Zea mays: one gene and its partner. The protein of the gene in region 1 binds, or shares a complex with, the protein of each later gene. Links are inferred from orthologs where the notes say so. Each region holds a gene or a part of one and is shown on either strand. Other genes may lie near its edges.

Region 1 (4,009 bases):
ATGATGCATTAATAATGACTTGTTTATTTTATTGTTTTTAAAAATATGTAGGATAGGTAATTACATGTAATATCTAAAAGTTAAAAGCATCATCTATTTAGAAACTAAGGTAGGTAGCAGCAGCCAAAAAAAAAAACTGAGGCGCTGCTGATCTTTCCGCAGTGATCTGCGCGTACCTGGAAGGGGATCTAGCGAGGATCTGGCTGTCGATCCTCGTGTTCGTGGGCAGCCAGCTCGTTCTGCCGCTGGTGTCCTCGCTAGAGAAGAACAGGCTCAGCTACGCTACTACCGGAATCGTGATGGTTGTCCCGACCACGTTCGTCGCAACTACGTCCCGAACTCGTCCTCCATGGCTACTGATGACATCGTGGTAAGTGCACACATTAACACGCGTGGCATGGCTTCCCACTCTTCGTTGACCTGACGCATTACTCAGGTGCCGTTCTCGTGGGCGAAGACCTCCATAAAGACGACGACAGGGTGAAAGAGGACTTGACTAAGCGCATATGGTCTTTGAGCATATAGACTAGTGGAATAGCCAGGAGATAAGTGACACTCCATCCCTGAAGGACTGGAGAATGATAATGATACCCAAATTTCAAGAACTGAGCTTCTAATGTTTCCAAAGTTTCTGTACGCTTACTAACCTGACAGATATACTAACGAGTGACTGTTGGTAAGCGTACAACAACATCGGAATTTGGTTAACCTGCTGACAGCTGTAGCGGGAATACACCAGACGTTCCCATAGAGTTGGAAAATGGCAAGCGCTTACAAAAGCAAACTATGCCATCTGAATGCCAACGCCATCATAAATAGCATGCATTGGATAGCAGCACAGCACAGCAACTGAGTAAACTACAACTTCAGTCACATTACTTTGACAATGTCAAACCGGGTTTCGTGAACTCTTCAAAACATCCCTAGTTGTACAACAGCGTAGAATAATAAAACCTAGAGTCTATGCATTTCCTCTCTCTCTCTCTCTCTACACAAACAAGGATATCTCTGGTGGTTGGACAAAGGAGAAGATGGCTTCCCCGAAGACCTCGTACAGAGACCCCAAGAGATGACCGGTGTCCTGGTCCTCCTTCCAGGCTTGCCTAAGCACTGCAGAAACTCTCTGCGCGAGATCACTGCCCTGATCCCTCCGGACCGCAGCTGATGGGATGCTCTCCACCGTCTGCCCAGAGGACGAGGCCTGCATCATGCCAGGGTTGCCTAACTGGTTGGGAAAGCCATCCATGGCACCTTGCATGTTTCCTCCCATGGAAGCTGAGGCCATGGAGTTGGCTGTTGCGTCCGTTGCCATCTTCTTCAGAGGTGGCTGAGTTGCAGAGAGATCTGTGCTAGATTTTCGCTTATCTGAAATTTGCAGCGCAACATAATCTTTACTTTCAAACTCGACTAATCCAACTGCTGACAGTAAGAACCACTTTGCACTTAATTGCCAGTCAACACGTGTCTAGTGGCATATATTCAACTGATACTGTGCTTATATTCAACACTCACTTGGGTTGTTGGTTAAGACCCTTTTGTTGCTCTGTAAAAGAGGCCGCATCGACGGAGAAAGCAAACCAGGAAATAGTTTCAACCGATCATACAAGCATTTGCCTGCAGCACACTAAAAAAATGCATTCCACTGGTAAGAAACTTGGCCTGGCATTAGTTGGTGAACCAAAATACGATAAATATTATATTGACTGAGAACTCTGAACTGACCAGCAAGGCACCATAAACACGCCAAGCTTCCTTCCTTTTCATCTCGTTTTTCTGCTTCTCAAGCTGCAGTTCCGGCTCCAGAAGTTGCATATATGTCACAAGGTTGGGCAAAAGAAGGAGTCTAATCTGGTAAGCAGAAAAAACAATCAGCCAGTGCATAGGACAGACCCAGTGTTGGCGGCTCCCACATAAGTGGGATCTGAGGAAGGAATAACTAATACAAAAAAAAAAGAGTTTCAAATGGGATCTACCGCGCTGGGCCCCAGTGCAGATATCCCTTGGACAGCACCATAATGTTGTGTCAGTGATTTGGCAGGATCAAGAAATGCATGGATCAATGTTTTAGTTAACCGATTTTGAAGGTTGTGATAGACATGACCAAACCTGAAACCATCATCTTCAGTTGGTCAACAATGTCATGAGAAAATTATTAAGGCAATTAGCCAAATACTACATACAGAAAATATCAATTAGCAAAGAGAGCTAGAGATCATCATTCAGAAAATACACACACTCCATGAGCAGAGCATGCAAAAGGCTATAAATCTATCAATTCCAAAAGAAAATGGATGCATGGAAACACATAAGGCAAGATCAAGTCATGACCCACCCAACAAATGCATGAAGATAGAACTGAAATAAATCTTCTGTCCACACACAGCATAGTGAAAATATCTATTTACCAGTTGGTCTCTAAAAGGAACACTATGTAGTCTACTCAGTAGCAAAGCCATGCAATGGTTTATTGGTATGTTTTCCACTAAGATGTAAGCTTCCATGAAACTTATCATGTCACATATGACATGATCCCGCAAAATAGGTAAAATCTTATATACGGAAGAAAGAGCATGAAATGGTGGTCAAACTATTATTGACTTGACCTTCATCTTAAACCTGTCGAAAAGATACCATATTAGCATAACTAAGATAAAGCACTTTTATGGGCACATAACTGTTCTTTAAGGTCATAATATGAGAATCAAGGAATTGAAATCACAAATGCAATTGAATTAAATTTTGATAATTATACAAAGATTTACTGACACCCTTCACATATCACTCACCTCTGACATACCAAGGCAACCAAATTGGCAGAGAAGTCCCTAAGTTCCCAGTGGTTATCTGAGAGCCTATGCCCTAGCCTTTTCGCAACAATGCAAGTGATCATTGATGGCATCAGCTGGTGCAACTACAGATCAAGACAAATGCTGCTAATTTAGTACTAATACGGCGAAAAGAATATATAAAATGGCAAAAAAATAAGTCGCGCACATGAACTATCAAAACCTTATGGTTTACTACTTACATAAGGTTCAATATGAATATGTGGATTACGGAGAAGACTTTGGACTACTCTCATTAGAGCAAGTAAAACAGGAAGATCACCCAAACTCCGGGTAACCTGAAATTCAAATGGATACACACTAAGTAATGTCATATAAAAAGAAACCCACCAAAAGCAAGAAAGCTACTGTACAACCTCGTCTGCAATGAAGTAGGAAAAGTAAGGAACTAAAGGATGAAGACCAGAATCTTTTGCCAAGCTCACTAAAGCTTCTTTAAAAAGGGACGTATCAGATCTACTCATAGTAAGTTCAGCTATTTTATCAAAGTACATCTGCAAAACCAAACAGTGAATAGACATATAAGTTTCTTGAAAATATATGCGTAATATACAATGCACGGTATCATAATCAAAGTACCTGTAGTTCTCTAGATAATACATGCTTAACAGGAAGCTTGACATCAGCTGGAAGTCCATCATCTTTCCCATGCTCAGACCTTTTATTTTCAGTTGGTGGTACAATTGCTGAAATAAAATGATAATTGGCACAACAAGTATTTTTCTCTCAATATTGGAGAAGAATGTGACTACATCTTGCTAAGGAGAAAAGTAATGACTATAAATCTCTGGACAAAAAGGGCAGACCGTCAATAGCAGGATTCTCCGGTATTGCAGGCTGTACCCCCTCAATCGCTAGCCAATGGGCTACAACTGATGTGTCCAGTGGGGCTTTAGGCAGAGGACAGTCAATAATCTGCATGACACGAACCAGGAAGAAACATTTCAAATGAATGGTTTTGAAATAAGTGGTACGAAAATTTAATAATCATTAATAATGCCACTACCTCTTTGAAGTCTACCTCCCGATCATCAAGATAGAAGAGATCCTTATGTCCAACAGCTCTCTTAAAACGTAATGGATCACCAGAGGCAAATCCATATACGGGCTGATTGAGAACCCATGGACCATGGTAATGAAACAGCAGGGTCAGTTCAAACAAA
Region 2 (4,142 bases), on another chromosome or scaffold:
AATGTAACAGCAAAGTTAGTACACACAAATACAGTGTGTATAATACATATCGCTAAGAAAATGTTAAAATAGTTTGTTATATAGTGAACAGTAGAGCACATCATACACTGACAAAAAAAACCAACAAAATAAGACCCTGGCAAACTTACGCAATATAATCCGAAAGATCCCATCCTCCCCGCACAATGGATCTGTTTTTCCACGGGCTTTGTAAATCACAATGCCTTTCAGGGTTATTAAGACCCCCTCCCCTGGACCCTGGTAAATAATCAGCTTGGCACCTGTTCTAGTCATTTAGCAATTCCTGCAGCTCAGTTGCCATAGCTGTCTAGGCTAAATGTGATTGCCAGATTGCTGACTGCAGAATGTGCATTTCAGGTCGTGTCAAACTAGGAGCCTCTCCAGCAGGCGCTAGCCTGCTGCCACTACAACCTCAAATCGCACCTTGCTAAGGCACATGATGTGATACATGAGCCTATCATGATGATTGATTAGGTATCCTTCAGTTAATTAGGTATGCTTTTAATTCGTAACTCATGATGATGATGATACCAAAAAAACCCTAATTGACCTGTTTCCTAATTTTAGTATGCTTTAGTTATTCATCACTTGATTAGTCAGACCACATAAAGAATGAGCCATTGGTAATATAATTACAAATAACAACAACAAAGCCTTTTAGTCTCAAGTAAGTTGGGATAGGCTAGAGTTGAAACCATACAGGTTTAGGCACATGGATAGCTGTTTTTCATACACTCCTATACAAGTAATATAATTACAGAATCTCCGCAAAATCAGGCATACACTTTGTAAGTGTATCTTGTATGTTTTTTAAAAAACTTTGAAGATAATTGCATGTTACACAGTTACTCAATATAGGGATATGTTTCATTTTTTGAAAAAGTAAATGATATGGAACATAAAATATGTAGTAAGATATATAATGTAGAATAAGAGGTAAATACAAGCATCGATGGGCCACATTAACTATTAGCAGCCACCCCACTAACTCATTAGAACCCAATTAACCCAACAGCCCATAAAGCAACACCCTACACTCTCCCCTCAATCCCTAATCCACCAATTCCTCACTTGATGCTGTTTGCCTGTTTACATCAGTCCTTTCCAATGCCGTCTTTGAGCAACGACAAGCCTGGCTGCCCCAAGAGCACACCTCCCAGATTGAGGGCCAACGCCACCCCTTTTGAAATAGAGCTCTACTCATGCAGATTGTGCACTGGTGCTGCCCCCTTCAGATCGAGCTATACAGTTGACCAGTGAAGATCTGCAAGACCACAGGCGCCGGAGCCAACAGAGATGGGCGAGGGCAGGTGCAGGTGCAGGTGCAGCCTTGCCTGGTTCTCTTCATGCTCTTCCTTTCTTTAGCCTCTCCTTCCCTTCCTGTATCAATGGCTCCAGTGCGCATATACATGGTCACCCCCACATATCCAGCATACTCCCTCCTCTCCCTTTCTATCCAGATGCGCCTACCACTGCCTGAAACTTCTCCTTCCTCCCACTTTTTCCGCTTTCCTCACTTATCTGTGCTCTCAAATTGACCACCACTGCCGTCACCTTCCAGATTGACTGTGTCACAGCTGACCGGAGCAAGTTCTGTGCCAGCCACTGGTGTTGGATCCAGCAGGGATGGCAGCAGCTCGGGTTCTTGACCTAGATGCCCTCCCCCCCCTCTGTCTCTATATTTATATTTGATCATGGCGATAGGGATGCCTAGATTTCCAGCGAGCCATATCACGTAAGCGGCACCTTAAAAACCATGTCTCAATGAATAATTTCATTGGGGAGGGATTTTGATTGAAGCCTAATAAACATAACCATGTCTCGATGAATAATTTCACAAGTACATGCAATTAGGGAGGGATTTTGATTGAAGCCTAACAAACTTGTTCAACCAGACAAAAACATGGAATTGCAGTATTGCACAGAAGATTTGCATTCCCATGGAATAAAAGAATGATACTGTTTCATTCATGAATATGCTATCATCATTGAAATTAAGAAGAGAATCCTTTACTTTGCAATAACGAGACTATGAATTTACTCACTGAAGAGAATCGCTAGCAATGTCTGATAGGAACTTCTGGGTGGCTACAGCAACCAGTCTCGTTCTGTAAAACACGAATTCAGATTATGTGTGCAAGAAATCAAGCAATTTGTGTTATTAACTTTAATCCATGGCACTGATCAGATCTCAGCTTACTATTATCCATCAGGAAGAGAGATTGGAAAGAAGACGAGCACTCACAGGCGCAGGTCGGGGCAGTGGAACCCGCTGCGGCCGAGGTAGTGCTCCACCAGCTCGTCGGGAATCTTACGCGCCACCGAACCAAGCATCAGGGTTAAGCCGCTGACAGAAAAGTAGAGAAGGCGAGAGGGAAGCGGCGGCACCATACCGTGGGGGTGTAGTCCATGAGGGATGAGAGGAACTCGGTGAGCGCAGCCTCGTCGTCGTGCCGCCCGTCCCCCCCTCCACCCACTCCCGTACCCATGCCCCCTCCAGGGCCTCCGGCACCGCCGCCACTGTTGTTGTTCATCATCCTGGACCTCACGTCTTGCTGCCTCACTGCCCCCACCGCGCAAGTTGTAACAAGAGGTAGGAGCCCGAATAAACGGCGAGGAGAGGGGCAGCGCAGGCAAGAACGAAGGCGGGCGCTCGTGTTCGGCCGCCTTGCGTACCTGAGGCGATGGCGAGGCACAGGGGCGGCGTCCGTGAGTAGAAAATTGGATTTCTCCAAACAAACAATGTGCTCGCACTTTTCCCAGAAAAAATTAGATTTTTGGACTCCAAAGCATATGTTTCGCTTCATCTTTTTTTTTTTTTGCCATTCATAACATTGATTTCGTAAAATCAAAACGTATCACACTTGTTTTTAATGTTATTTTAGACGTTTTTATCCTCGCATGAATACGTACAGATGCAATACACAGAATGGTATAGAAGAACAAAAATATCCAAAATATTATTAAACCCAAATGTAAATGAGTCTTATTTTTATAAAGTCAATATTACAAACAGAAAAAGTGAGAAACAAATTATTTAAAGCATGAAATCCAATTTTCTCACTCGTGAGGCAGGGTAGAGGAAAGGTTGAAGAAGAATCTAGCATGTGTTTGGTTTCGGAGGAAAGGTTGAAGAAGAATCCTAGCATGTGTTTGGTTTCGAAACGATGTGGGTCGGGTCGAAGCTGATCCATTTTTCTGGATTGGATCGGACTCGTTCCTTCTTTGGTTTCATTGACAGGTCAAACCTAGTTTCTTATTTGATTACAAGGTTAAAGTGGATTGGAGCTGCATCATCTCTTGTTTGGTTTCGTGATGAGGGATGAACTGAATATGATCACCTTCCTGGTCATATTACCACACTCGGGATTATATCTTCAATTCTAAATGAGATGATAACATTCAAAATAAATGAAACTGGCACTATTTTAGTATTTGAGAGATCCATAAGCACAAGATATACATAAATTAAAGCCCTTATTAACCAAGTCATAAATTTTGAGTGATGAGGTCTCATTGTTACATTTCAGTCATAATAAAAGGAACATCACAACAACATCAAGATGCATTTCAGTAATCAAGTTCAACTAATAGTTGCATTTCAGTGATCAAGTTCAACTCATTGTTGCATTTCAGTCTAACAAAAGCTACTTCTCACCATCACTAACTATTACAAACTAACAAAAGTTACTTCTCACCATCAACTCAGTTACATTTCAGAGAATTTCTCAGCGATGAACATTGTGATCTAATGTAATTTGTGCTCAAATAGTCGGTTGTAGAAAGCTTTGCCGATGTGAGGATTGGCCACCAGATGAGCATAGTAGAAAGATATATGTGTAGAATTGAAACTAGGCATTTGATTCAGCATGTCAAATAGATGACTTGGCAGCTCATTATCAGGCTTAGCAACCAATTTACTTGTTCGACGACAGCACTAGTAAGGCTCGCGGGCTATGCTTGCTGGAGAACACGCTGGCACCGGAGGACAGGCCGGCGGGGGACTGATGGTGGGAGACACAGCAGGCCAGCGGGGGAGTCTGACGACGCTGACGGAGGCCAGCACGCTAGAGGGCAGGCTAGTGAGTAGAGATGGCAATGGGTACCCGTTACCCGAAACC

What was found. The genes of interacting proteins can lie anywhere in the genome.
Region 2: Transcription initiation factor TFIID subunit 6 (region 1) and transcription initiation factor TFIID subunit 10 share a complex: the UniProt entries of both Arabidopsis thaliana proteins name them as parts of the TFIID complex. The link is inferred for Zea mays from reciprocal best matches to the Arabidopsis thaliana genes TAFII59 and TAFII15.

What each region holds. Positions count from the first base shown.
Region 1 is NC_050104.1:148,199,536-148,203,544, reverse strand, and holds the end of Transcription initiation factor TFIID subunit 6, read right to left. Parts: intron 3,955-4,009; coding exon 3,853-3,954; intron 3,762-3,852; coding exon 3,653-3,761; intron 3,533-3,652; coding exon 3,426-3,532; intron 3,341-3,425; coding exon 3,203-3,340; intron 3,125-3,202; coding exon 3,029-3,124; intron 2,912-3,028; coding exon 2,787-2,911; intron 2,107-2,786; coding exon 1,974-2,106; intron 1,849-1,973; coding exon 1,723-1,848; intron 1,625-1,722; coding exon 1,513-1,624; intron 1,366-1,512; coding exon 989-1,365; 3' UTR 852-988; downstream 1-851. UniProt on the Arabidopsis thaliana protein: TAFs are components of the transcription factor IID (TFIID) complex that is essential for mediating regulation of RNA polymerase transcription. Required for proper pollen function. May stabilize the interaction of TFIID with selected promoters.
Region 2 is NC_050102.1:124,193,908-124,198,049, forward strand, and holds the start of transcription initiation factor TFIID subunit 10, read right to left. Parts: upstream 2,801-4,142; 5' UTR 2,698-2,800; exon of another isoform or gene 2,577-2,697; 5' UTR 2,559-2,576; coding exon 2,415-2,558; intron 2,332-2,414; coding exon 2,267-2,331; intron 2,130-2,266; coding exon 2,067-2,129; exon of another isoform or gene 150-2,066; intron 1-149. UniProt on the Arabidopsis thaliana protein: TAFs are components of the transcription factor IID (TFIID) complex that is essential for mediating regulation of RNA polymerase transcription.